Linked DNA regions of Callithrix jacchus. The protein of the gene in region 1 interacts with the protein of each later gene in a pairwise test. Links are inferred from orthologs where the notes say so. Each region holds a gene or a part of one and is shown in the gene's direction. Other genes may lie near its edges.

The links.
Region 2: the proteins of SFN (region 1) and BAD interact in binary tests that used the Homo sapiens proteins (3 or more experiments, as listed by UniProt). The link is inferred for Callithrix jacchus from reciprocal best matches to the Homo sapiens genes SFN and BAD.
Region 3: the proteins of SFN (region 1) and FOXO4 interact in binary tests that used the Homo sapiens proteins (3 or more experiments, as listed by UniProt). The link is inferred for Callithrix jacchus from reciprocal best matches to the Homo sapiens genes SFN and FOXO4.
Region 4: the proteins of SFN (region 1) and CCNH interact in binary tests that used the Homo sapiens proteins (3 or more experiments, as listed by UniProt). The two-hybrid records come from large-scale screens. The link is inferred for Callithrix jacchus from reciprocal best matches to the Homo sapiens genes SFN and CCNH.
Region 5: the proteins of SFN (region 1) and MARK3 interact in binary tests that used the Homo sapiens proteins (3 or more experiments, as listed by UniProt). The link is inferred for Callithrix jacchus from reciprocal best matches to the Homo sapiens genes SFN and MARK3.
Region 6: the proteins of SFN (region 1) and HDAC4 interact in binary tests that used the Homo sapiens proteins (3 or more experiments, as listed by UniProt). The link is inferred for Callithrix jacchus from reciprocal best matches to the Homo sapiens genes SFN and HDAC4.
Region 7: the proteins of SFN (region 1) and NTAQ1 interact in binary tests that used the Homo sapiens proteins (3 or more experiments, as listed by UniProt). The two-hybrid records come from large-scale screens. The link is inferred for Callithrix jacchus from reciprocal best matches to the Homo sapiens genes SFN and NTAQ1.

What each region holds. Positions count from the first base shown.
Region 1 is NC_133508.1:63,512,005-63,514,950, forward strand, and holds SFN (14-3-3 protein sigma), read left to right. Parts: upstream 1-1,133; 5' UTR 1,134-1,196; coding exon 1,197-1,943; 3' UTR 1,944-2,446; downstream 2,447-2,946. UniProt on the Homo sapiens protein: Adapter protein implicated in the regulation of a large spectrum of both general and specialized signaling pathways. Binds to a large number of partners, usually by recognition of a phosphoserine or phosphothreonine motif.
Region 2 is NC_133511.1:121,342,697-121,346,636, reverse strand, and holds the start of BAD (bcl2-associated agonist of cell death), read left to right. Parts: upstream 1-1,140; 5' UTR 1,141-1,630; coding exon 1,631-1,676; exon of another isoform or gene 1,677-1,760; intron 1,761-1,847; exon of another isoform or gene 1,848-1,970; intron 1,971-2,206; coding exon 2,207-2,401; intron 2,402-3,940. Other genes in the region: integral membrane protein GPR137, read right to left, coding at 1-49. UniProt on the Homo sapiens protein: Promotes cell death. Successfully competes for the binding to Bcl-X(L), Bcl-2 and Bcl-W, thereby affecting the level of heterodimerization of these proteins with BAX. Can reverse the death repressor activity of Bcl-X(L), but not that of Bcl-2.
Region 3 is NC_133524.1:68,376,856-68,381,048, forward strand, and holds the start of FOXO4 (forkhead box protein O4), read left to right. Parts: upstream 1-1,393; 5' UTR 1,394-2,071; coding exon 2,072-2,524; intron 2,525-4,193. UniProt on the Homo sapiens protein: Transcription factor involved in the regulation of the insulin signaling pathway. Binds to insulin-response elements (IREs) and can activate transcription of IGFBP1.
Region 4 is NC_133503.1:123,464,033-123,467,532, forward strand, and holds part of CCNH (cyclin-H), read left to right. Parts: intron 1-502; coding exon 503-576; intron 577-1,674; coding exon 1,675-1,885; intron 1,886-3,500. UniProt on the Homo sapiens protein: Regulates CDK7, the catalytic subunit of the CDK-activating kinase (CAK) enzymatic complex. CAK activates the cyclin-associated kinases CDK1, CDK2, CDK4 and CDK6 by threonine phosphorylation.
Region 5 is NC_133509.1:138,222,991-138,227,246, forward strand, and holds the start of MARK3 (MAP/microtubule affinity-regulating kinase 3), read left to right. Parts: upstream 1-1,456; 5' UTR 1,457-2,081; coding exon 2,082-2,132; intron 2,133-4,256. UniProt on the Homo sapiens protein: Serine/threonine-protein kinase. Involved in the specific phosphorylation of microtubule-associated proteins for MAP2 and MAP4. Phosphorylates the microtubule-associated protein MAPT/TAU. Phosphorylates CDC25C on 'Ser-216'.
Region 6 is NC_133507.1:160,370,064-160,373,081, reverse strand, and holds the end of HDAC4 (histone deacetylase 4), read left to right. Parts: intron 1-711; coding exon 712-853; intron 854-1,259; coding exon 1,260-1,299; 3' UTR 1,300-2,518; downstream 2,519-3,018. UniProt on the Homo sapiens protein: Responsible for the deacetylation of lysine residues on the N-terminal part of the core histones (H2A, H2B, H3 and H4).
Region 7 is NC_133517.1:73,974,115-73,977,614, reverse strand, and holds part of NTAQ1 (protein N-terminal glutamine amidohydrolase), read left to right. Parts: intron 1-99; coding exon 100-199; intron 200-2,230; coding exon 2,231-2,281; intron 2,282-3,500. UniProt on the Homo sapiens protein: Mediates the side-chain deamidation of N-terminal glutamine residues to glutamate, an important step in N-end rule pathway of protein degradation.

The sequences.
Region 1 (2,946 bases):
CTAGCGTCCCCCCTGGGGGATCAAACTGGACTGCTTCCCAGCCTCAGACAAGAGGGCAGTCTGAGTCAGGCAGGAAAGTGGGACAGCTGGGGAGCTGGACCCCACCCTCTGGAAGCCCCGCTGGTACCTGATGGCATATGGCTTGGAGAGGGCAGGTGACCTGGCATGGAGGGCCAGAGGGTAAGTCCTCAAACAAGTGGCAACAGGCCACCAACTTGAAAGGGAAAATTGTGTAGTGATGGGAAATGTGTTCAACAAACCTACTGGGTGACTAATTACAAAGGCTGGGCTGGAGCGTCAGAGGCTGCTTGTTAAACACTTTATTAAGTGGCACTCCGAAAGCTGCCACCTGTGCATTCTGGGAGCTCAGAGGGGACCCATCTGGGGGATGGAACTGTCTTCAGGTAGACTGAGGAAGCAGCCTGGATCTCATTTCCAAACACAGCCTGGAGCTCATAGGTCAGAGGCCTCATGGGAGAAAATCTAAAGGAGGTAGGGTGCAGAAAAGAGTTTCAGGGAATTGGTGGCTATGTGACTTTGAGCAAATCTCACCCCTCTCTGAAACTTAGTGTACCCATCTCTATGGTCCTGTGTATGTCACAGAGACATGGAGGGGATTAAAGTTGATCATGAATATAAAAGTGCTTGAGAAACTGTATAGCCCTACCTATACATGAATTATTCTCCCCTGAACCAAGCGGGGGAAGTTACCTCTCCGGATTAGGAACCCCATCCTCCTGAACCTTTATGAGCTCTATCAAGGCTGAAGCAGCCAGGGGCTAAAGCCATCCTTAGCCCCTGGAAGGGCACTGTGAAAGAGGATCTGATATGAGAAGCCAGGCAGCTTCCTGATGTGGGCAGTCATGTAATGCCAGTCCTGAACAAGAGGGGGCAGCGTGGAGCCCAGAAAGGCACCTGTGCAGGTGGGGCCAACGCCCAGATTTCTCCTGCTGACTGTCCTGATGACTCACTCCCACATCCCAACCCTTTTACCTTTCATGCAGAGCCGGAAAGGGTGTGGGGAGGAGAGGAGAGGGAGGCAGGTCTTGGGCCCTGGTCCTGCCCCCTGCTCCTCCCCACCCTTCTCAGGGCCTGGCCACCCAGCCAAAAGGCAGGCCGAAAGCAGGAGAGGCACAGAGTCCGGGATTGGTCCCAGGCAGCAGTTACCCGCCGCCCTCCTGTCTGTTCCCAGAGCCATGGAGAGAGCCAGTCTGATCCAGAAGGCCAAGCTGGCAGAGCAGGCCGAACGCTATGAGGACATGGCAGCCTTCATGAAGGGCGCCGTGGAGAAGGGCGAGGAGCTCTCCTGCGAAGAGCGAAACCTGCTCTCTGTGGCCTACAAGAACGTGGTGGGTGGCCAGAGGGCTGCCTGGAGGGTCCTGTCCAGCATTGAGCAGAAAAGCAATGAGGAGGGCTCGGAGGAGAAGGGCCCCGAGGTGCATGAGTACCGAGAGAAGGTGGAGACTGAGCTCCGGGGCGTGTGCGACACTGTGCTGGGCCTGCTGGACAGACACCTCATCCAGGAGTCTGGGGACGCCGAGAGCCGGGTCTTCTACCTGAAGATGAAGGGCGACTACTACCGCTACCTGGCTGAGGTGGCCACCGGTGACGACAAGAAGCGCATCATTGACTCGGCCCGGTCAGCCTACCAGGAGGCCATGGACATCAGCAAGAAGGAGATGCCGCCCACCAACCCCATCCGCCTGGGCCTGGCCCTGAACTTTTCCGTCTTCCACTACGAGATCGCCAACAGCCCCGAGGAGGCCATCTCGCTGGCCAAGACCACCTTCGACGAGGCCATGGCTGATCTGCACACCCTCAGCGAGGACTCCTACAAAGACAGCACCCTCATCATGCAGCTGCTGCGAGACAACCTGACCCTGTGGACGGCTGACAACGCCGGGGAAGAGGGGGGCGAGGCGCCCCAGGAGCCCCAGAGCTGAGTGTTGCCCGCCACCAGCCGGCCCTGCCCTGCCCCCTCCAGTACCCCACCCTGCCAAGAGGACTAGTATGGGGTGAGAGGCCCCACCCTTCTCCCCCAGGCGCTGTTCTTGCTCCAAAAGGTTCCATGGAAAGGGACTGGCAGAGCCGAGGCCACCTGGGGCTGGGGATCCCACTCTTCTCGCAGCTGTTGAGCACACCTAATCACTGGTCATGCCCCACCCCTGCTCTCTGCACCCGCTTCCTGCCGACCCCACGACCAGGCTACTTCTCCCCGATCTTGCCTCCCTCCTGCCCCTGCTGCCTGATGTTAGGAATTGAGGAGTAAGTGTCCCGCCTTGTGCCTGAGAACTGCACAGTGGTAGGGGCTAGAGATTGTGTGTGTGTGTGTGTGTGTGTGTGTGTGTGTGTGCGTGCGCTTGCCAGTGCAAGATCGAGATTGAGGGAAAGCATGTCGGCTGGGTGTGATCATGTTTCCTCTCAATAAAGTTCCCCTGTAACACTCCTCCTGTCTCTTCCAGTTCTTGGCGATGGGCTGGGAGTGGGACTGGAATCTGATTTAGAGACCCTGAACTTGGACCTGAGTTAGGACCCTGACCTCCCTGGGTGCTCAGTGACCCGCACGCAAGACTTTGAGTCCAGGTGAGGCCGGGGTCCAGCTCTGTCCTTCAGGGAGGCCCCACACTGGACGGGCCCGGAAGGGGCCGGTGAACCCACAGGAGGCGCCAAGGCTCCTCTGCCGGGCTGAGGGGAGGTGAGTGGGAGCCGCGAGGTTGACGAGCTCAGGTGGGGCGGGGCAGGAAACAGTGAAGTCTCCGGCGTGAGATCTAAGGACAGCGCCGCAGTAGCGAGCGGCACTGAGCACCCGATTTGCAAGCAGGTCACAGTCTCATCACGGGCTCCGATCTCAGCGGAGGGGAATACCATCTGAGTGAGGCAGAGGTATAGCGCAACCCTAAAACCCCAGATCTCAGGAGAGAGTCGTGTCCCACAGAGTTCGGAGAT
Region 2 (3,940 bases), on another chromosome or scaffold:
CAGGCACCAGCCCGGCAGCAGGCACCAGGCCAGACAGGTTACTCTCCATGTCAGGGAGGGAGGCCTGAATCCCTGAGACAGAGAAGGAGGGGCTGTCGGCGGGGCCAAGGAAATAAATACGGAGGGGTGGGAATTGCAGGGTGCAGAGAGGGAGATGGGGCGCTCAGGAGGAAAGAAGTTGTGGCTGACAGACCTCTCCTCCTCAACAGAGAGACCCCTGCCCTTGGGGAACATGGGCAGCCTGGGCCCCAGGCCCCTCACTCAGGGGCATGGAAGGGCAGTTTCTTCTCTCCAGGGCAGATCGGTTGAGGGTTGGTGGTGTCTCCTCCCTGGGCCTACCCCAGAGCCAGTGATGGAGGGAAGCAGAGGCCCAAGGAAAGGAGTCCCTGGCCTGAATCGCTCGTGTCGTCCTGGCTGGAGGGGGAGAGCCGGCCGATGCCCGTTGGCCCAGGGCAGCGGCCGCTATCGGGGGCGCCCAATGCCCCGCTCTCCCCCTCCCCAAGTTGGGGGAGGCTCTCTCCTCCAATAATGCGGATGGGGAGAGCCTCTGCCTTCTGTCCTCGGAATTCTCGGAGGCTGCCCCCGCCCCACCCCTCCACCGCGTCCACTCTCCAGCGTCAAGGGGCGGGAGGAGGCGGATGCCAGGTCCTCAGGCCGCTGCTGGGAGAGCCGGCTCAGATCGTGGGGACCCGGGGCTCCGGCTCCCCGGCTCCCGCTGCTCCGCCCCCTCCTGCGCCTGCGCGGGCGCCGTTCGCTACGCAAATTGCGCAGGGGCCGGGCTGGCTCCGCAGTCTAGCGCCGCACCCGGCGTGGAGCCGTTCGAGAATTGGCACGAGCTGCGCCGCTGGCGGGCGCCCGGGGTTACAGGAGGCGGCAGGCGGGCGGCCGAGTTGCGGGGGACTGTGCCGCACACAGGGGACCCCCGGGTAGGCCGCGCCCCGGGCCGCCAGCCTTTACTAGTTCGGGGGGCCGCCAGTTCCCACGCTTCTCTCCCCCATCCCCAAATTGGGGTCTTGCCTCCCGGCCGGGGACAACGAATCCCCGACCCTCGGTCTCTAAAGAAAACTTCCGCCCATAGCCAAGATGGCTTCCGGGCCCCGCCCCCGGGTCTGAACCCGCGGAGCCCCGAATCCCCCGCGCGGGCCCGCCCCCCGTCCTGGCGCGCCCGCGGCCCCGCTCACCTGGCCTGCCGCCTGCCAGGCGCGAAGCCCCCGCGGGCCCTACGGTCCACCCTCACTGGGTCCCCGGCCCTCCTCCCGCGCCCGGGCAGCCATCCCAGCCAGGGAGGAGGTTCCCTCCCTTATCTCCAGTGCCCCCGAGATGGCGCGGGAGGTGTCCCCCGAGGCGGGCGGCGCGAAGCTTCCACGCCTGGGAGGAGGAGCGGGGAACGGGACTTTCCGACCGGGTCACCCAGTCCAGGCGAAGCAGTAACAATAGCAACAATAATCGCATCCGACGGCTGAGCTTCAGTTGCGGCTGTGCCGAGCGCCTTCGCCCGTAGTAATCACTCCTTTCACAAAGTTTTCACTGGCTCCCGGGAGAGCTGTCACCATCCCCTCTTCACTGGAGGTAAACTAAGGCCCAGAGGGGCTGAAGGACTTGTCTGCAGAAGCAGGTCTCCAGGTTCCAAATGGGGACCCCAGAGAATCCCTCTCCTGCTCCTACACACATCCAAGGTGTGAGGCAGTAGGGATGTGAGAACCCGGGCCGCGGGAGGTAGGAAAAAGGCGGTGGGCTAGGAGGTCGGGACGAGGGGGGGCGGGGCCGGGCCGGGTTGACCCCGCCTCTGGACCTACCCGAGTGACGTTGCGAGAGGTGATTGGGGCAGGTCGCTGACAGTTCCCGTTGCCCAGGCAACTAGGGCCGGGAGCCCGGTTGCAGGAGGGAGGCGGCAGGCCCGGGTCAGGGGCCTCGAGATCGGGCTTGGGGTGAGACCTGTCCGCCGTCACCACGGGCGGGGCGGGACCTGGGTAGGCCCCTGGGTAGGGGCCTGGGTCCACCAGGGTTCTGACGGGAGACTGAGGTCCTGAGCCGACAGCCTCAGCTCCCTGCCAGGCCAGACCCAGCAGACAGATGAGGGCCCGGGAGGCCTGGCGGGCTTCGGGGCGCCAGGGTGGGAGAGGGAGCCAGGGGCACCTGCCTCTGCCTTCCAGGACCACCGTTGGCCCCAGCTGTGCCTTGACTACCTAACATCTTGTCCTCACAGCCCAGAGCATGTTCCAGATCCCAGAGTTTGAGCCGAGTGAGCAGGAAGACTCCAGCTCTGCAGAGAGGGGCCTGAGCCCCAGCACCGCAGGGGACAGGCCCCCAGGCTCTGGCAAGCATCGACGCCAGGCCCCAGGCCTCCCGGGGGACGCCAGTCACCAGCAGGGACAGTCAACCAGCAGCAGCCACCATGGAGGTGAGTTCCCCTCCGCCTCCACCTGCTGGGTCGCCTCACTTCCAGCCCATTGGCTCCCTGCATCCCAGCTGCATCCACACGCACTGAAGGCTTCGGGGCAGTCCCCAACCTCTCAGAGCCTCAGTTTCCTCTTTTGTAAAACAGAGCAATTAATCACCACCATTGTAGGACTGTTGGGTTAATTAGCAGGAACATATAGGATTCACTTGATTACAGAGCTGGTGCACATTAAAGTGGCAAAATGGCAGCTGCTGGGCCTGGTGGCTCACACCTGTAATCCCAGCACGTGGGGAGGCCAAGGCAGGAGGATCGCTTGAGCCCAGAAGTTCAAGGTGAGCCTGGGTGACATAGGGAGACTCCATCTCTTAAAATACATACATATATATATAATGGGTAGCTATTAGTGTGGGGCCAGGATAGAAATCAGTGACAGGCAGGCAGTGATGCAAAAAGGAAAAGTGACTTGCCTAAGGTTACACTTGCCTGGGGTTTCCTTCCTTAGGAGGTGGGGCTGGAAGGCTCCTTGGTGCCCTGCCCCAGGCTATGTGCTTTCCCTGGGATTGGGCCTTCCAGCTCCCGGGTGTGTTGTCTTGTCCTGTGGCTCGCACCCACAGCAAGGCTGTCCTGGTACAATTGCCAGGAGCAGGTGACCTCAAGGGGCAGACAGTCCTCCCAGACAGCGGGGCTATGTGTGGTGGGGAGCACAAGCTGCAAGATGGAAGGATGAATGAACACTGGGGGTCACGGCCATTTCTCAATAGGCTCCACTACCTTGTGCCCAGCACTGGCCTGGAACAACAACAGATAATTTCGGAACAAAGAAACTAGGTCAATCCGGGTGGGGTGGCACATGTCTGTAGTCCCAGCTACTCAGGAGGCTGGCTTGAGCCCAGGGATTCAAGACCAGCCTGGGCAATTCAGCCAGACCCCATCTCTAAAAATAGAAAACTAGGTCAGGTCACTATTGCACTGAAGCTTAAACGACCTCCTCCCCATTTTCAGGATTAAGAAGGCTTAAGAGGCCTCCTCCCTCTCCCTCTCTTACCACACACACTCACTCCCTTCCTCAGATTGGACCCTATAACTTGCTTTTTTTCTCTTTTCTTTTTTTTTTTTTGAGACAGGGTCTCACTCTGTCATCCGGGAGGGAGTACAGAGGTGCAATCTCAGCTCACTGCAGCCTGGAACTTCTGGGCTTAAGTGATCCTCCTACCCCAACTTCCCAAGTAACTGGGAATACAGGTGTGTGGACCACACCCAGTTAAATTATTTTTCACTTTTTCTTTTTCTTTTTAAAGATGAACTCTCACTCTCTTGCCCAGGCTGGAGTGCTAGGCCTCCAGGTGCAAGCTAGGAGTTAGCTAGGACTTCAGGTGCAAGCCACCACGCCTGGCTAATTTTGTGTATTTTTAGTAGAGACAGGGTTTCACCCTGTTAGTGGGTATGGTCTTGATCCGACCCCGATTTAGCCTCCCGAAGTGCTGGGATTACACTCATGAGCTACCACCCTTGGCATTTTTCGCTTTTTCATTAGAGACG
Region 3 (4,193 bases), on another chromosome or scaffold:
ATAATTTCCAGACATGTTTCTTTTTTCTTGTTTATTTGTTTATTTATTTATTTATTTTTTAGAGATGGGGCTTCACCATGTTGGCCAGGCTGGTCTTGAACTCTTGACCTCTGGTGATCCGCCCAACTCAGCCTCCCAAAGTGCTAGGATTACAGGTTTGAGCCACCTCACCCAGCCATACATGTTTCTTAGAACAGTAACCTTGTTGGCAGCTCTGAACATGAACTGTAGTGAAGAAAACACCGATGGAAGGAGATCCAATTGAGATGATACTGCAACTTTTTTTTTTTTTTTTTGAGACAGGGTGTTATTCTGTCACCCAGGCTGGAGCTCAGTGGCACTATCTTGGCTCACTGCAACCTCCACCTCTTGGGTTCAAGTGACTCTCCTACCTCAGCCTCCCAAGTATCTGGGACTACAGCTGGATGTCCCACATCAGGTTAATTTTTCTATTTTTAGCAGAGATGGGTTTCATCATGTGAGCCAGGCTGGTCTTGAACTCCTGAACTCAAGTGATGTGCCTGCCTCGACCTCCCAAAGTGGTGGGATTATAGGAGTGAGCCACTGCACCCTGTTGATCCTACAATTTAAATACAGTTATAAATAAGGTCTTGAACCGGGATTTGGATGTAGAAAGTTATGGAGATGAAGAGGTAATGGGTACTTCTAGCTTGGGAGACTGGGTAGACCAAGACTATCAAAAGCCAAATTCAGAGATATGGGTAGCCAGAGGATAGGGGTGTGGGTGCAGGAACAGATAATGACTTCAGTTTGGGACCTGTTGAATAAGAAGTGAAGCCGCTGGAGATGTGAAGAGAATATTAGTGTTGAAGGGAAGGCCAGAAAAGCCAGTGGAGGAAACTGATTAGTGAGACCTCACTGTCAGTGGGAACTGCATATGTCGGATGAAGGCGGGTGGAGGGAGGAGGAAGGGGGTGAGGGGGAACGCCACCATGGGCTAACCATTTGTTTATGTTACACAGCCCCCTACCCAACTCTCCAATGTGCATACATCCTATTTTATAGTCTGTTCCTTGCTTCTTGCTTCTCGGTCTCCTGCTTCTTGAAGAAAAGATTTTTTCCCCTTTTGCCCTCTCCTAAATGAAGGAGAGAAAGGGCTAGCATCTCTCAATGTGGTCACCTAGGCGACCCCGACTCACAAGGGAGGCGATGGAAAGGGGGGAAAGGGCGAAAAACGATTCTTAAGAAAATAAAGAGTCTGTGACGACTTCTAATAATTAAAGTTCCACCTCCTTATATCCTGCCACGCCGCTCTCCTGCCGTCGTATCGGGCTCCTGGCCGCGAAGCAGGACGGGAATTGTAGTCCTCAAGAGTGACCAGGGTGGCACGACTGAAGAACTCGGTTTCCCGACTGGCTTCCGAGGCGCGTGCGCAGATGGCTGCCCCGGAGAGTGGTAAACAGAGACGTCAGGCGGGGGCTGCTGCTTGGAGCAAAACAAAAGGGAAACCCGGGGGGCGGGGGGTGGGGGGGGTTGATAGGGGAATCGGTGCGGGAATAAGGGAGGTCGCAGCAGCGGGGACCAGGACCCTATTAAGAGTGGCGAGAAGGGAAGAGGCGGGGGAAGAGGGAGTCAGGGGAGGGGCAAGTGACGCGGGGGAGCGGGGCGTGGGGGAGGGCAGCGATCCGGGAGGAGGCAATTTGGGAGGAGTGTCCGGGGGGCAGCAACTTAAAAGGGGGAGGGAACTGCGGCTAAGGAGACGTTCGGTGATGGGAGCGCAATGTATGAGGGGATACCGTGCCTCAGGTTTAAAAGAGCAGGAAGCTGAGTGAGAGGTGGCAGAAAAAGTGTCTTTGCTCGGCGGAGGTTACAGGTGGCATCTCAGAAAGAGCTCTGAGGCTGTAGGCTGTAGTCGGAAAGGGGATTGGAGAACTGTGTGAAGGGACAGCTTAGGGGCTAGCGTCCTGGGACTAGGGGGAAGTTCGAGACTTTCTGAGGACTGGCAGGAATGTGCCTCCTGGCCCTCGGTGCTTCCCCCCTGAGGGGAGGCATCGTGAGGGACTCTGGCAGGCTTCACTGAACTCTGAGCCGGGGAGGTCCAACTCCACGTATGGATCCAGGGAATGAGAATTCAGCCACAGAGGCTGCCGCGATCATAGACCTCGATCCCGACTTCGAACCCCAGAGCCGTCCCCGCTCCTGCACCTGGCCCCTTCCCCGACCAGAGCTCTCTACCCAGCCTTCCGAGCCGCCCGAGGTGGAGCCAGGTCTGGGGGAAAAGGTACACACGGAGGGGCACTCAGAGCCGATCCTGTTGCCCTCCCGGCTCCCAGAGCCGGTGGGGGGCCCCCAGCCCGGAATCCTGGGGGCTGTAACAGGTCCTCGGAAGGGAGGCTCCCGCCGGAATGCCTGGGGAAATCAATCATATGCAGAACTCATCAGCCAGGCCATTGAAAGCGCCCCAGAGAAGCGACTGACACTCGCCCAGATCTACGAGTGGATGGTCCGTACTGTGCCCTACTTCAAAGACAAGGGTGACAGCAACAGCTCAGCAGGATGGAAGGTAATTATGACCCTCTTACCTCCTTCCCAACACCATCTACCCCCTGGACCCCCAGCCTCCCTTACTTAAACTCTGGGGCCCCTTTTACCGCCTCTCACCCCCACCCCTTTGGGAAGCCCAGAGATCCACCTTGAATCTCCAGTTAGACAAACATTTACTTAGTACATAGTATAGTCCACACTCGGTGCTTGATGCTGGAGGATCACAGATGAATAAGACACTGTCCCTGCCCTGGAGAAAATCGAATTCTCTGCTCACTGCTGAACACTCGCAGCACTTTGGCTTGGGCTGCCCCAAACACTTATTCCCACAGAGAAGTCTTTATCCTATGTACAGCAGGAAATGTGTGGATTCCCCGCACCAACCTAGCCTTGCCTCCTCCCCTACTTCCCACCCCAACACCTTTTCTCCCATTCCTGTGGGATTACTTGGATTCCCTGCTTGCCTCCCAATACCTCAGTGTAGCGGTACTGTTCTACCACTGCTCTACTTAGGAGGAGGGAGTGCAGTGGCAAAGGTAAAAACAATAATATTCATGGGGAAATGTAGCTGATCTTATTCACTAAGAAGAAAAAGGGCTGTGAGCTGCTACCTGTGTCAGTTTACCTTGTGCTGCCAAGAAACTCTCCCTTGTAAGGGGCTATCCAAGTTTTGGGGGAAAATGTTCCTTTACTGTTAGGGAATATAGTCATGAAGAAGGAGGTAGGGCTCTGACTTTAGAGCACAAGATTGGGAGTTCCCTTGGCCTTCCGTGAAGAAACTGTGAGGAAAGATCTCAAAAGATACTGTGAAAAACTTGTCCTGAGAAATATGGGGCTCTAATCACAAAACTGGGGAGCCTCAAGCCCTACTGCTGGCTTGTACCTCCGTAGGTGGTGAGGTCAGCATACAACCAAGTACAGAGGGTTGGATGAGCAGAGGAACGTCCCCTAGTTCTTAGGAGATTGAGCGATCAGTCTGCACTATCCCTAGGGGCTGGGCAGAACAGAAGATGGGACAGCTGACTGAGACCCTTAGCACTATTTCTGGGTAGACTGCCATGCCACAGTCTCAGCTCATAAAGAGCTCCCCTCCTTGGACCCAGCCTACACAGCTGTTTTTCTTTTCCCTTAGGTTCATTTTCCAGGGTAGAGAAAATAACAAGTTGTTACTTAGGCTTTAGACTTTGCAAAGTAGTTTTTAAATTTTTATTTTATTAATCTTCACAACAATTCTGAGATTCCACATTTCACATATTAGCAAACTAGGTAATGAGAGGTTAGGAAACTCACCCAATAACAGCAGGGTGAGGACTTGAACTCAGGCCTAACTATAAATCATATTGTCTAAGAAGAGCATGCTTGCTCTCATTGGAATGATGACAAAATCAAATCAGGCTGAGCCTGGGATTTCGAGGCCCCCCCACCCCTCTCTGACGGGAAGTCTCCTGCCTGAACTGGCCTCCCTGATGATATGCCAAGGTTATTCCCACCCCACCAGGGGGCGACACTCACTTAGAACAAGAAAGTTTAGGTTAGGTGGCTTGGGAAACAATTAGCAGTCACCCCCCCCCCACACCCCTACCCCACACCGCCCTCCAACATGTAAGAGTTGCAGGCTTTTAGGAAACTAACCTCTCCAATTAAGAGGCTGTGTACCACTGGCTAGTTCCAAGGCCTAAAGACAGACA
Region 4 (3,500 bases), on another chromosome or scaffold:
ATGGGATGCATTCAGTAAATAGTAGTGCTGCTTTTGCTGTTCAGTTAGCAGCAGTGATCACAAATCATGGAGTGGACATACGGTTATGTAAAAAATATGAAGTGACTTTAGAGAGAAGGCTTATTACCTTACCCATGTATTTTTGTTAATATTTTTATAAGATTGGTTAATCTCTGAACATTTGTATTTTTTCTCCTTGAATTTAATTCAGGTCATTTTTGGTACTCTGAATTCTGAAACACACATACCCTATTTTTAAATCCAGTGACCATAGGAAGGATTAGCCAGAGTAGTCTGGGGATAGACAACCAAAGGACGGGAAAGGGTCTTTTGGCTATGGCATTTATGTAGTAATTCATCAATTTATTTTGATTAAAGAAGAATTAATATTAGCATTTTTATGGGTAATCTCTACAAAGAAACCTTTCCATAAGTAAATTCTGTTTCACAAAATTTAACAGGTAACATTTGTGAATACTGATGATTTTTTTTTAACCCTTAGGGTACAGCTTGTATGTATTTCAAGCGTTTTTATCTTAATAATTCAGTAATGGAATATCATCCCAGGATAATAATGTGAGTATGTCTGTCTAATTTATTTTCATTTAAAGAGACTTTTATACTCTTTGAGTATTTGTGGAAGGAGAGTTGTGTCAGAGAACTGACTTCCTAATCTAGGTCATTTAGACTTGAATTTTTTTTTTTTTTTTTTTTTTAATTCAGAACTTAAGATCTCTATTTACCTATACTTCGGTAATACTGATGGCATCTGAACTTCAAGTTGTCCAGATTCAAATTTTGTTTTTCTCAATTAGGTGCTTCTCTAATATCTCTCCCTGTTAGACGCCTAAGTTCTTCCAGTTGTTCAGACCGAGAATCATTTGTAGTGGCCCCTCTCCTTCCACATGCAGTCAGTGTTTGGATGCTATAACTTCAGATTCATTTCAGTTGAACAAAGGTCTCTTGTTTCTGCTCTCTGCTGAGCACTGTGTCTATCATTAAAGTTGAAATTAGTATGAGACTCATCAAAGAGCTTGTTCTCAATGACAACGTACCTGTTTTCTCTTTTCGATTCCCATTTCCTCCAGTCAAGATTAGGCCCTTGATCTCACTTCCAACCTTGATTTTTGCAATAGCTTTTTTAACTAGTTTCTTATACTGAACAGCATGAAGTGGCCAGGTAAATTTCACACATTTGTCCCTGAAATAATAATTCCTTATTCAGATGCCCTCAGAGACTTCCATGGATGGGCTTCCACAAAGTTCCTTAAACCTACTTTTCTTCCCATGCTTATATGATATATAAGCGGGTATTGCTTTATTTTTAACTCTTTGTCTACATGATACAAAGTATTCTTATTCCTCAGTTAATTTGTTTTTCCAGATACTTAGGTTGTCCTGCATGACACTGTCATTGAGTGAATGATGGTTGAATGCCATGGCAATATTAGTTGGTTTGACCTGATTTTATAGTCTGCCTTATGTCTCCTAATGGATGAAAGTGTGAACAAAGAGCTATCTTAAAAATATATATATATTCCTGCAATGTCTACCAGTCACTTTTGAATATCAGACAATTATAGAATATACTTTTAGAAATAAATTAGATATTTCTCAAAGTATATGCATGTTGTTCCACCCCCCACCCCCGTACCTCCTTATTTTTTCCTCTAGGCTCACTTGTGCATTTTTGGCCTGCAAAGTAGATGAATTCAATGTATCTAGTCCTCAGTTTGTTGGAAACCTTCGGGAGAGTCCTCTTGGACAGGAGAAGGCACTTGAACAGATACTGGAGTATGAACTACTACTTATACAGCAACTTAATTTCCACCTTATTGTCCACAATCCTTACAGACCATTTGAAGGCTTCCTCATTGACTTAAAGGTAAACTTGATGTAAAATAAACGAACACATCGCCTTTCCTATTCTTTAACCAAGAGAATCCAAAATTTTAAAACCCTTAATTGTTATACCTTGGATATACCACAGGCCCTCGATGACATGTGGATCTGACCTGGTCATCGAGGGCAGTTGTTTCCAAACTTCTGTGGGCATGAACAGACATCTGGAGAAATTGTTAACTCAGATTGTTGGGTGGGACTTACAGAGTTTCTGATATAAGTGATCTGCAGTTCTGCTCCAGGGACGTAATGAAGACCATGGAGAATTTAGAACAGTGCCTATAAAGGTTTGAGATAACTCTTCTGACTTTGAATTATATTGTCATGGATATTGGCATGATTTAAAGAACCATAAATTCTTAAACTTAAACTAGAAGATTGCTAAGTCACTTCTATTTTTAGAGGTTTGTGAACTTGAGTCACTATGTAGGCATCAATAATATATGTAAACAAACATTGACAAAAGCAACCTTTAGATTGTTTTGTTTGGCTCTGACAGAATAGTTGGATAGTCTAAGTCGAGTCAAACAGAAATCAGAAACTGGTTTATTCATATTAGTTCAGTGGCTCAATTTGGGTACTTTTTATGTGCCAGACTTTGTGCTTGAGGATGTAACCAGAAACAGGAGAGGAACAGTCTTAACTTTTGGGAATTTTACAGTCTAACAGTTTTAGATAATCATATCCAGTGTGCTAAGTGATACAGAGAGGAAGATATATTTTAGAAGGAGATAACAGATTAAGGGGTAAGGAAAATATTCTGAGAATGTATCATTTAAAATAAAATTCAGAGTAGGAATAGGTGAGAGAAGAACATCCCAATCAGAGACTTCACTGGTCAAAAGCTCAAATTCAAGAAACCATTCTTTGCTAAAGAACCTGGGCAGAGCCTAGCAATGCAAGGGGAAGAATATCACAGACAACAACTACCAGTGTGGAAGGCAAAGTCTAGAATGTGGAGACAATGATACACATTTCCAATACAGCAAAGAGAAGCCAGTGAAAGGTTTAAATTTAGAGTGGCATAATTAGATTTTCAGCTTTAAAACATCATGTTGGCAACCTTATGCATCAGGCTGCATCAGGTATTTATTGCACATCTGTTGTGTCAGGCATACGTGGAGAAAGGATTTGAATGAATTAAGGGAGTAATGGGGTACTGTTAAAGGATTCCAGGCAAAAGATGGTGGTGAGCTTCACTCATATGAAGTTCATGAACTCTGGGCTTGAGTTACAGTCTGAATATCCCTTATCTGAAAAACTAGGGACCAAAAGTATTTGGGATTTCGCACACACACACACTCAAAATCCTTATATATTTTGTTCCACTTTAGGTTCTGGGGTGCATGTACAGAACATGCAGGATTGTTGCATAGGTACATACATACATGGCATGTGGTTTGATGTCTCCATCCCTCTGGTCACCTGTATCTGGCATTTCTCCAAGTGTTATCCCTCCCCATCCTCCCTACCCCTCTATGTCCCTCCCTTATTCACCCCACAACAGACCCCATTGTGTGATACTCCCCTCCCTGTGTCCATGTGTTCTCATTGTTCAACACCCGCCTGTGAGTGAGAACATGCAGTGTTTGATTTTC
Region 5 (4,256 bases), on another chromosome or scaffold:
TAGCCACCCACTCCGAGGGCTTCTCATCCAAGCTTTGGGGACCGGGTTAGAACCCCAGCTCTGTTGCTAGCCACCCACTACGAGGGCTTCTCATCCAAGCGTTGGGGACCAGGTTAGAACCCCAGCTCTGTTGCTAGCCACCCACTCCGAGGGCTTCTCATCCAAGCTTTGGGGACCAGGTTAGAACCCCAGCTCTGTTGCTAGCCACCCACTCCGAGGGCTTCTCATCCAAGCTTTGGGGATCGGGTTAGAACCCCAGCTCTGTTGCTAGCCACCCACTCCGAGGGCTTCTCATCCAAGCTTTGGGGACCGGGTTAGAACCCCAGCTCTGTTGCTAGCCAACCTGGGTACTTTAGCCATGTCACTGTACCTGTCTAGACTTCAGATCAAAAGTCTGCCCATCTCATACGGTTACCCTGAGGCTAAATGGAGTAACAAATATCATGAACTCACAAAGTAGACTTGACCCTCAGTAACAGTTCGTGTCACCTCCATCCCACACCACTCTCCCTCTTTGGACCCTGCACCCATGGATTTCATCCACCGCTGGCTAGGAGCTGAGCAGAGGCACCGAACACGTGAAGAGGTGAACCGGCAAGGAAGGCTTCCAGGACAGGTAGCATTACCAGAGTTCCAGCCTGCAGGCGTCTACCGAGCCTGGCCGAGGCTGGCACGCGGAGATGCTTCCAGCCTTCCAGCGGCTACGCACTGTCTGTAAGAAAAGCCTGCTTATAAATCCCCTATAGGCATTTAGGAACTGGCGGGGCCTCTACAGATTCGTTTCGGCCCCGACCACATCTCCTTTGTGCCACCCTCGTTATTGCACTCTTCCATCCGGATGGCATTTAGCTGGGTCCGGGTCTGTCACCCGCCTGACCACCAGTTCCTTGAGGGCAAGAAGTGTCTGCTGCGCTCGGGGTCTGCGCCCAGACCGCAGCTGCTCAGATCCGGATGCAGGAAGGTCTGTTGGCGAGAGCTTGACGCCCGGGTCACAGTTAAGGATGCAAGAGCCCGGCTCCTTCCCGTAGCCTCGGCCCTGTCATCCATTGCTTCTGTGCCTCCACTCGGTGCTGCGCAGTCCCAGGGATGCAACCGCAACTTTTGCGCATAGTAGGCTCTCCATCTGTAATCCAGCCAACCCGGGCCTGTGGTCTGTAAATGCCTACTCAGCGGGAGGGCTCTGGCTGCTGCCCAGGGCCGTTTCCCGGCTCTTTCGGGGTTGCCCGCGCGTTCCTGACAGGAGGAACCCGCAGCCCGCGGGAGTCAGCCAGGACCCGGCCGGCACTTCCTAGCCCTCTGCACCGCCCCCGCGGCGGGGGTCTGGACCAAGTCGCCCCTAGCAACAGCAACCGGGCCGGCTTTCCCAGGCCACGCTGATTGGCCGGACTCCGGGAGGCGGCGTGTCGTCACTTCCGGCATCCGGAGGCAGCAGAGGAAGCCGAGGGGCGGCCATCTTGAGTCCGTGAGGCTCTGAGGGGCCGGGGTGCGGCGGCGGCGGCAGCGGTAGCGGCAGCCGCTAGGGCGGAGGCTGAGGCTGCAAGCTCGCTGGAGAGGGAGAAGCAGCCGGGCGCAGGCACCTTGTCCGTAGGCCGCTCCATGGTCGGCGCCTCCAGCCCGCCGAGGCCTGTCTTGCGCTCCACTTCCTTCACATCCTCCTCCGCCTCCTGTTTTTCAGGGGCCGCCGGCGGCGCTGTGTGGAGGCCCGCGAGCTGAAATTCGCGGCGCGACGGGCGGGAGTGGCGAAGGAGGCGAGGGGGCCGGGGCTCGCGGGGCGCCCAGAGACGAGGGGACGCCGGCGGGCGGAAGCGCAGCACGCCGCCCGCAGCCTCAGCCCCGCCACTGCCGCCCTCCCGGGCTCCTCGCCGCGGCCGCCGGGGGCAGGGAGAGAATGAGCCCCGGTACCCGCCGGGGTACGGCCCGGGCCAGGCCCGGGATCTAGACAGCCATAGGGGGAAGGGAGCCGCCCTCCCCACGGCGCCGCTCCAGGCCTGCCGTGGACTCGAGGACGCGGGTCGCCGGCCTTCCAGGGCTGTGCCGTTCTGTTCTCGCCGTCGTATTGTGCAGAATTGAAGCGCAGTACAATGTCCACGAGGACCCCGTTGCCGACAGTGAATGAACGAGACACCGAAAACGTAAGTACCCCGGGCGCTCCCGTCGGCGGGCCTGCAGGGTGGGTGGCCTTCGCGCTCCTCGGGCCGTGCCCTGCAGGCCGGTGTCCCCCCCCAGCCCGAACGCGCTGGAAATGGAGGGCAGGCCGTCGGTGCCCGAGAGGCAGCGGGTCGGACGGTTTCCTGCAGCAGGCCGCCCTTTCCCGCCGCGGCGGGCGGGTCTGCGAGGTCCGTCGATGATGCGGCCAGTGTCGCTGCGGCGTTCCGGCTCGGTCCCTGGAAGGTCAGCTTGCCGCACGATGGACGGCGCAGGTGTGCGTGTGTGTCCGGTCACATCGATCCCTGTATTCCTGGTGCCGATGAATCGATCCGGTCAAGTGGACAGTCTCGTGCCTTAAGACGGCCTGGAACTGAATTTAATCACAGCCACTGAGTGTCCGCTCGGGGATCTTCGCGGGATTCCAGAACACTAGGGCGCAGCCTTGGGGAAGGCACAGACTCCTGTCCATACAGATCTTGTCTGAAGGAGTTGGCTGCACATTTTGGAAGGCAGGAGAGCAGATGCGTAGTGAAGCTCTGCTCTGCCACTCACGGCCTGGCAGAGGGACACCCGCTGGGGGCTTCGCCGTCCTCCTTGCTAAACACACGTTGGCTTAGATGAGCGCTTAGGTCTCTCAGCGCTCACAGGCTATGGTTTTATAAAAGGAACCTTTTATTTTATTCACGTGAAACGACAGAATGCCAGGAACAGCATTGCTGGAGAATGAGAACTTGTAGTAGAAATTCCATTGAAGAAATGTTTGTTCGTTTTCTGAACTCTTCTGGGTTCAAAAGTGTTTCAATCTAGTTGTTGGCTGTCTTCTGTAAAACATTTAGCAAATAACTTGTAAAGAAATGTCCCCGGCCCTTCATTAAAAGTGTCATGAGGTCATTGCCGGCACGAAATGTCTTCTCTTAGGGAATGCTTCCTTGCTTTGAGTATTTTCATGCTTTCAGTAATGTCCTGAGATGTGGCCTAGTGGTGCCAGTGCTTTCATTTTGATCTTAAAAATGCCACTTGTTTGCTGGATAGCTGTCTGATAATTTAATCTGTAAACGTAAACCTTAAAGTGTCCCTGTAGCATATTAGTGTATAATATTTAATGCTCTTTAACCCTGAGTAGGTAGAACAGTGGTGATTGTTTCTCCACCTGAGATAGATTAGAAAATTATGTAAAGAGTAATACAACCTCTTAGACTAGGTGAATCAGGGAACTAATTTTCTTATAGTCCATTTAAAGAAACTGTGTGTGTGTGTGTGTGTGTGTGTGTGTGTGAGTGAGAGAGAGAGAGAGAGAGAGACCGAGTTTCTGTCTCCCAGGCCAGAGAGCAGTCCTGTGATCTTGGCTCACTGCAGCCCCCACCTCTTAGGCTGAAATGATTACCAAGCCTCAGCCTCCGGAGTAGCTGGGATTACAGGCGTGCACCACCATGCCCGGCTAATATTTGTAGTTTTAATAGAGATGGGGTTTTACCATGTTGGCCAGGCTGGTCTGGAATTCCTGGCCTCATGTGATCCACCCGCCTTAGCCTCCCAAAGTGCTGGGATTACAGGTGTGAGCCACTGTGCCTGATTGATTAGTTTTGATCATTGATCTTCACTCAGAAGCAAAATCTTGTATTGAACAAGAGTAGGAGCGCCATACTTTCTAAACTGAAGCCAGAAACAGTCATAGCAGATTTGTGGTAATGAAGGATTTCAAATGGGTCTTTGTTTGTTTCTTTTTTTGAGACAGAGTCTGGGGTCTGTCACCCAGGCTGGAGTGCAGTGGCATGATCTTGGCTCACTACAACCTCCACCTCCCTGGTTCAGGCGATTCTCCTGCCTTAGCCTCCTGAGGAGCTGAGATTACAGGCATGCACCACGATGCCCAGCTAATTTCTTTTTAATAGAGACGGGGTTTCTCTGTGTTGGTCAGGCTGGTCTTGGACTTCTGACCTCAGGTGATTTGCCCACCTCAGCCTCCCAAAGTGCTTGGATTACAGGTGTGAGCCATCAGCCATATAGTGTATTTAAAACTGAATTGTTGGCTGTGTTTAAGTCGGGTTTATCACACATTGTTGCATTAATTTAACATGCCCTGTTATATTTTTAACTCTTGTATTGGC
Region 6 (3,018 bases), on another chromosome or scaffold:
CAGGGTGTAGGCCCTCTGCGTTCCGGCACTGACCCTCAAGCAGAGGGTCCTGGCTGCAGGGGCATGGCACGCAGCCTATCTCAGAGGCACCTCCCACACCCTGTCATCACAAGCCCAGTTTGCCTTTGAGATGACCCAGAAGGTTGAGACTGTCCACACAAGCAGGTACAGTCCAGAGCTTGGCTCCCATTTCCCTGTGTGGGGGAGTCCTGGCCTCAGAGCCCTGAAGCTGACCCTGGGCCAGCCCAGCCCTCCTTGTACCTGGTGCAGTACCCCTCCACCCCCAGCCTCTGTGAGGGCCCAGGCAGAAGACCCCTCAGCCCCAGCAACAATCCCCCAGCTCACCTGCTCCATGAGATGGGAAGGCTCAGCCCAGCAGGTTGGGAGCCCCCACTCCTGGCCACCCAGGGCAGAAAGGGGCCCGTGAGCATGGAAAATCAGGCCCACCAGACCGTCCGTCTGCCGTCCTAGGCCGGCTTGCTCCTGGAGGGTCTCCAGCCACTCACGATGGGGAAATATTTCCAGAGATTCTTGGTCTTTGTGAGTTTGCAGCTATGCAGTTGCCTGCCTCGTGCCTCTTCGAAGAGGGCTGCTTCAAAAATCACAAGGGATCGATGTCGTTTGAGGCTCAGGGTCCTGCAGGAACGTCCCAGGCCACGGAGCCTCCTGCGGAGTTGCAGTCACTGAACACCTTTCCTCTCCCTGCCCCAGGCAAGTACTGGCGCTGCCTACAACGTGCAGCCTCCACGGCGGGGCGCTCTCTGATCGAGGCTCAGACCTGCGAGAACGACGAGGCCGAGACGGTCACCGCCATGGCCTCACTGTCAGTGGGCGTGAAGCCCGCCGAAAAGAGGTGAGCGCCTGCCCAGCTGCCCGCCTGCCCCACCGCCCGCCTGCCCCGCCGCACGCCTGCCCCACCGCCTACCTGCCCTGCCGCCCGCCTGCAGGCCCACCCAGCCCCACTGTGCCCAGTGACATACTCTGCAGGGTCAGAACCTTTATGGCACATGCCCTACCAAGCTGGCAGGGCAGGCCCTGGGAGAGGGATGCCCATCAGACTAGAAACAGGCCAGGTGGCCCCCTCCATCCAGTGCCAAAGCCCCTTAGAGACACATAAGGAGCAGTAGGCCCTGAACAGATGCCACCTGGGCTAGGCTGGCAGCTGGGGCAGCGCGCGGCCTTTAACCCACGTTCTGTTCTCTCTCTGCTGCGGGGCATGTGCCCCACGCCCCTGTCTCTTTCTCTTGCGGGATGCACAGACCAGACGAGGAGCCCATGGAAGAGGAGCCGCCCCTGTAGCGCCCCTCGAAGCTGCTGTTCTCTTGTCTGTCTGTCTGTCCTGAAGCTCAGCCAAGAAACTTTCCCGTGTCACGCCTGCGTCCCACCACGGGGCTCTCGGAGCACCCAGGGACACCTGGCGTGTGACAGCCATGGGAAGCCTTTCTGCCGCCTGGGCCCACAGGTTCGAGATGCACATGCACACCTGGGCGTGGCGGCCTCACAGGGAGCACGGGACAGATGCGGCTGACGCGCAGACACTCGGACACGCGCAAGCCAAGCACACTCTGGCGGGTCCCGCGAGGGACGCCGCGGTAGAAAGAAGCCTGCGGCGACGAGCGGCCGAGCCGCTGAATTCCGTTGACGCGAGGCACAGAAAATGAGCATCAGAGATCTGATAATGCAAAACAAACTTGACTAAAACAGGTGCTTAAAGTTTGATTATCACACGCAACTCCACAGTCTCTGTGTAAACCACTCGACTCATCTTGTAGCTTATTTTTTTTTTAAAAGAGAACGTTTTCTACGGCTGTGGCCTGCCGCTGTGAACCATAGCAGTGTGCAGTGGGGGGGTCTGCACCCAGGTGGGGGACAGAGTGACCTTTAAAGAAGACAAAACCGGACAGAATCAGGAGTGTGAGCCTGGGGAAGCTGGCTTGAGTTTCTCAAAGCCATCGGAAGATGCGAGTTTGTGCCTTTTTTTTATTGCTCTGGTGGATTTTTGTGGCTGGGTTTTCTGAAGTCTGAGGAACAATGCCTTAAGAAAAAATAAACAGCAGGAATTGGTGGGACAGTTTCCTGTGGCCAGCTAAGGCTGGCAGTGCTGGCCCCATGACCTGGCCTGAGCCCCAAGCTCGGGCACCGGCCATCATCTCCGGGGCCAGGGGCTGTAGCCCGCCGGGCCCCATTTTGCTTTATTGCTGTTTAAGGAAAATGGAGGTAGTTCCAAAAAAGTGGCAAATCCCGTTGGAGGTTTTGAAGTCCAACAAATTTTAGACGAATCCAAAGTGTTCTCTTGTCACACATCACATAGCGATTGAGCATCTCCATCTGGTCGTGAAGCATGTGGTAGGCACACTTGCAGTGCTCCGATCGGAATGCTTTTTATTAAAAGCAAGTAGCATGAAGTATTGCTTAAATTTTAGGTATAAATAAATATATATGTGTATAATATATATTCCAATGTATTCCAAGCTAAGAAACTTGATTCTTATGAAATCTTGATAAAATATTTATAATGCATTTCTAGAAAAAGTATATATATATATATACACACACATTTATATATATATATATATATATATATATATATATATATATAAAATGAATGCAGATTGCGAAGGTCCCTGTAAACGAATGACTTGTGAATTTGCTCTAAAGGTGCTTATGGAAAGGGATCCTGATTGAAATTCATGTATTTTCGAGCTCCAGATTGGCTAGAATTCAAATCGCCAACACATTCGCCACTGGGCAACTACCCGACAACTTTGTACTTTAATTTTAATTATTTTCTAACAGAACCCTTTCTGTCTCCAAGCCTTCATGCACATATGTACCTAATGAGTTTTTATAGCAAAGAGTATAAATTTGCTGTTGATTTTTGTATGAATTTTTCACAAAAAAGATCCTGAATAAGCATTGTTTTATGAATTTTACATTTTTCCTCACCGTTTAGCAATTTTCTGAATGGTAATAATGTCTAAATCTTTTTCCTTTCTGAATTATTGCTTGTACATTTTT
Region 7 (3,500 bases), on another chromosome or scaffold:
TTTTCCAACTTTTTGATGTCATCATCAGTATTTTATTCAAATCTAAAAAACACATAGAGTGTTCTCCCTCATCTTGATTAAGCAATTATTTTATTTCAGTGAAGAAAATATTTGGAAGCTCTGTGAATACATCAAAAACCATGACCAGTATCCTTTAGAAGAATGTTATGCTGTCTTCATATCTAATGAGAGGAAGATGGTAAGTTGGTGAGTGATTGCAGAAAGAAAATAAGAGATTTAGGATGACATTAGAAGCTAAATAAAAAAAGAAAGAAGTTAAATATAGCATGGGTGTAGTATTCTTCTGGAGTGTGCTTTATAAAATACAGCAACAGTTAAAAGTTTGCTTTTGACCGAGATTTTTTTTCCATACAAGGCATGATTGAGTTAGAAGAGTTGAGTCCCTTCTGTTGCCCAGGCTGGAGTGCAGTGGTGCAATTCTCAGCTCATTGCAATCTCCATCTCCCAGGTTCAAGTGATTCTTCTGCTTCAGCCTCCTGAGTAGCTGGGACTACAGACATGCACCACCATGCCCAGCTAATTTTTGTAATTTTTAATAGAGATGGGGTTTCGCTATGTTGGCCAGGCTGGTCTTGAAGTCCTGGCCTCAAGTGATCCTCCCACCTCAGCCTCCCAAAGTGCTGGGAGTATAGGCATGAGCCACCATGCCCAGCCTAGTCTCTTACTTTAGATAAGGAAATATGTGATGATCTACACAGATTTAAGTCCCTTTTCTTTAGGTATTAATGTAGGCCTGTGTTTTTTTCTTTACTTTTTTTGATATGGAGTCTCACTCTATCACCCAGGCTGGAGTGCAATGGTGCGATCTCGGCTTACTGCAACCTCTGCCTCCCAGGTTCAAGTGATTCTTGTGCCTCAGGCTCCCAAGTAGCTGGGATTATAGGCGCCCACCACCATGCCCGGCTAATTTTTGTATTTTTAGTAGAGACGGGATTTCTCCATGTTAGCTAGTCTGGTCTCGAACTCCTGACCTCAGGTGATCTGCCTGCCTCAGCCTCCGAAAGTGCTGAGATTATAGGCATGAGCCACTGTGCCTGACCATTTTTTTTCTTTTTTAAAATTCAAGATGGAAGAAGTAGACTTTTTAAAATGGCTTAGAGGCACATACTCTCAGTATTAAAGTAAGGATTTGTCTCTGGAGTTTCAATAGAACTGCAGTCAACTTATATGAAGAATTAGAAAAAGTAAGCCCTTCATATTTTGTAAAACACATTTGCAAGCATCATCTCATTTGATCCCAATGGAAGCCCTGTGAAATAGGCAAGGTTTGGATAACTTTCTTCATTTTATAGATGAGGAAATAAAGACTTAGGGTGGACCTCTGAATAATTAAATGGAAAAGCAACATTTGATACCTGCCAGGACTTCTGATTCCTAGTTCAGATCCCTTTTCACTCTCCAAAGAACATCATTCAATAGCTTGTGCTCTAGAGAGCTTTAATTGTTGGGGACACTTAGAAAAATTTAGATTTCTTCCTCTTCATTCATTCTTTCACCTTGATTTTTTGCATGCTTAAAAGTATTTTATTTCTCATGCATGTATTGCTTTAAAGAATTTAGTAGTTGTCAGGTACAGTGATACATGCTTGTAGTCCCAGCTACTTGTGAGGCAGCTGAGGTGGGCAGATCACTTGAAGCCAAGAGTTCAAGACTGCAGTATACTATGATTGCACCTGTGAGTAGCCACTGCACTCCAGCCAGGGCAACATACCAAGATCCCATCTTGGCCAGGTGCAGTGGCTCGCACCTGTAATCCTAGCACTTTGGGAGGCCAAGGTGGGTGAATCACTTCAGATCAGGAGTTCGAGACCAGCCTGGCCAATATAGTGAAACCCCCTCACGCCTGTAATCCCAACACTTTGGGAGGCTGAGGTGGGCAGATCACTTGAGATTAGGAGTTTGAGACCAGCCTGGCCGATATGGTGAAACGCTGTGTCTACCAAAAAATAAAAACAAAAAATTAGCCAGGTGTGGTGGCACATGCCTGTAATCTCAGCTACTTGGGAAGCTGTGGCAGGAGAATTGCTTGAACCTGGGAGGTGGAGGTTGTAGTCAGCCAAGATCATGCCACTGCACTCCAGCATGGGCGACAGAGTGAGACTCTTTCTCAAAAAAAAAAAAAAAATCCCATCTCAAAAAAAAAATGGTTAAAGAATTTAGTAGTGGTTTAACTGAGGGTATGGCTTATAAAATGTATTGTATTTTGTAGATACCTATATGGAAACAACAGGCGAGACCTGGAGATGGACCTGTGATCTGGGTAAGGCAGTTAAATTAATACAGAGGGTACTGAGGCATTATGACTTGTAACCTCTTGGTGTTTTGTATGTTTTGGTAAAGCAGAAGTGGCCTATGCAGTAGAGAAAGGCTATGGTCATTATTAATACATTGATCTTTTGAGAATAGGTGTTATTTGGTCTAAGGTGGAAATATATAGGCATATTTTCTTTTAACTTTTTGTTTTGAAATTATAGGAATGATTTTAAATGGTAGATATGTTTGTAATCTCCTAGACTCTTATCCATTTAGCAGAGGAAGGAATTTTGGCGACATGTAGTCTGGCTACGCATTAGAATTATCCGGAGACTGTTAAAAATGTAGTTTTTGGCTGGGTGCGGTGGCTCACGCCTGTAATCCCAAAACTTTGGGGGGCCAAGGTGAATGGATCACTTGAGGCTAGGAGTTTCAGACCAACCTGACCACCGTGGTGAAACCCCATCTCTAATAAAAATACAAAAATTAGGCCAGATGCAGTGGCTCATGCTTGTAATCACAGCACTTTGGGAGGCCGAGGCAGGTGGATCATTTGAGGCCAGGAGTTCGAGACCAGTCTGGCCAACATGGCAAAACCCCATCTCTACTAAAAAAATACAAAGATTAGCTGAGCGTGTTGGCATGCACCTGTAGTTCAGTTACTCGGGAGGCTGAGGGAGGAGAATTGCTTGAACCTAGGCGGAGGAGGCTACAATGAGCTGAGATTGTGCCACTGCACTTCAACCTGGGTGACAGAGAGAGACCCAGTTTCAATAAATAAATGAACAAATAATGTAGTTTTCTGGTTTAGTAAATCTAGAGAGGGGTTCAGGAGTTAGTGTTCTTGATGAACTGCCAGATGAACATGACTGGCATTTGAAAAATACAGATCTACTCCCACCCTTTATGTTTCAGGGAAGAAATAAACACAGAAAAACAAAGTGAGTAGCTCAGAGTCACTTAGTTGGTCAGTAGCAGAACTAGGTCTCAGACCTGGATCCTTTCCAGTACAAATCTACATGTCACCTTAACCCATTCCCCTTAAGAATGGAGGCCAGGGTTGGGCACGGTGGCTCACACCTATAATCGCAGAACTTTGAGAGGCTGAGGTGGGCAGATCACCTGAAGTCAGGAGTTCGAGACCAGCCTGGTCAACATGGTAAAACCCTGTCTCTACTAAAAACTTGGGAGGCTGAGTCAGGAGAATTGGTTGAACCTGGGAGGTG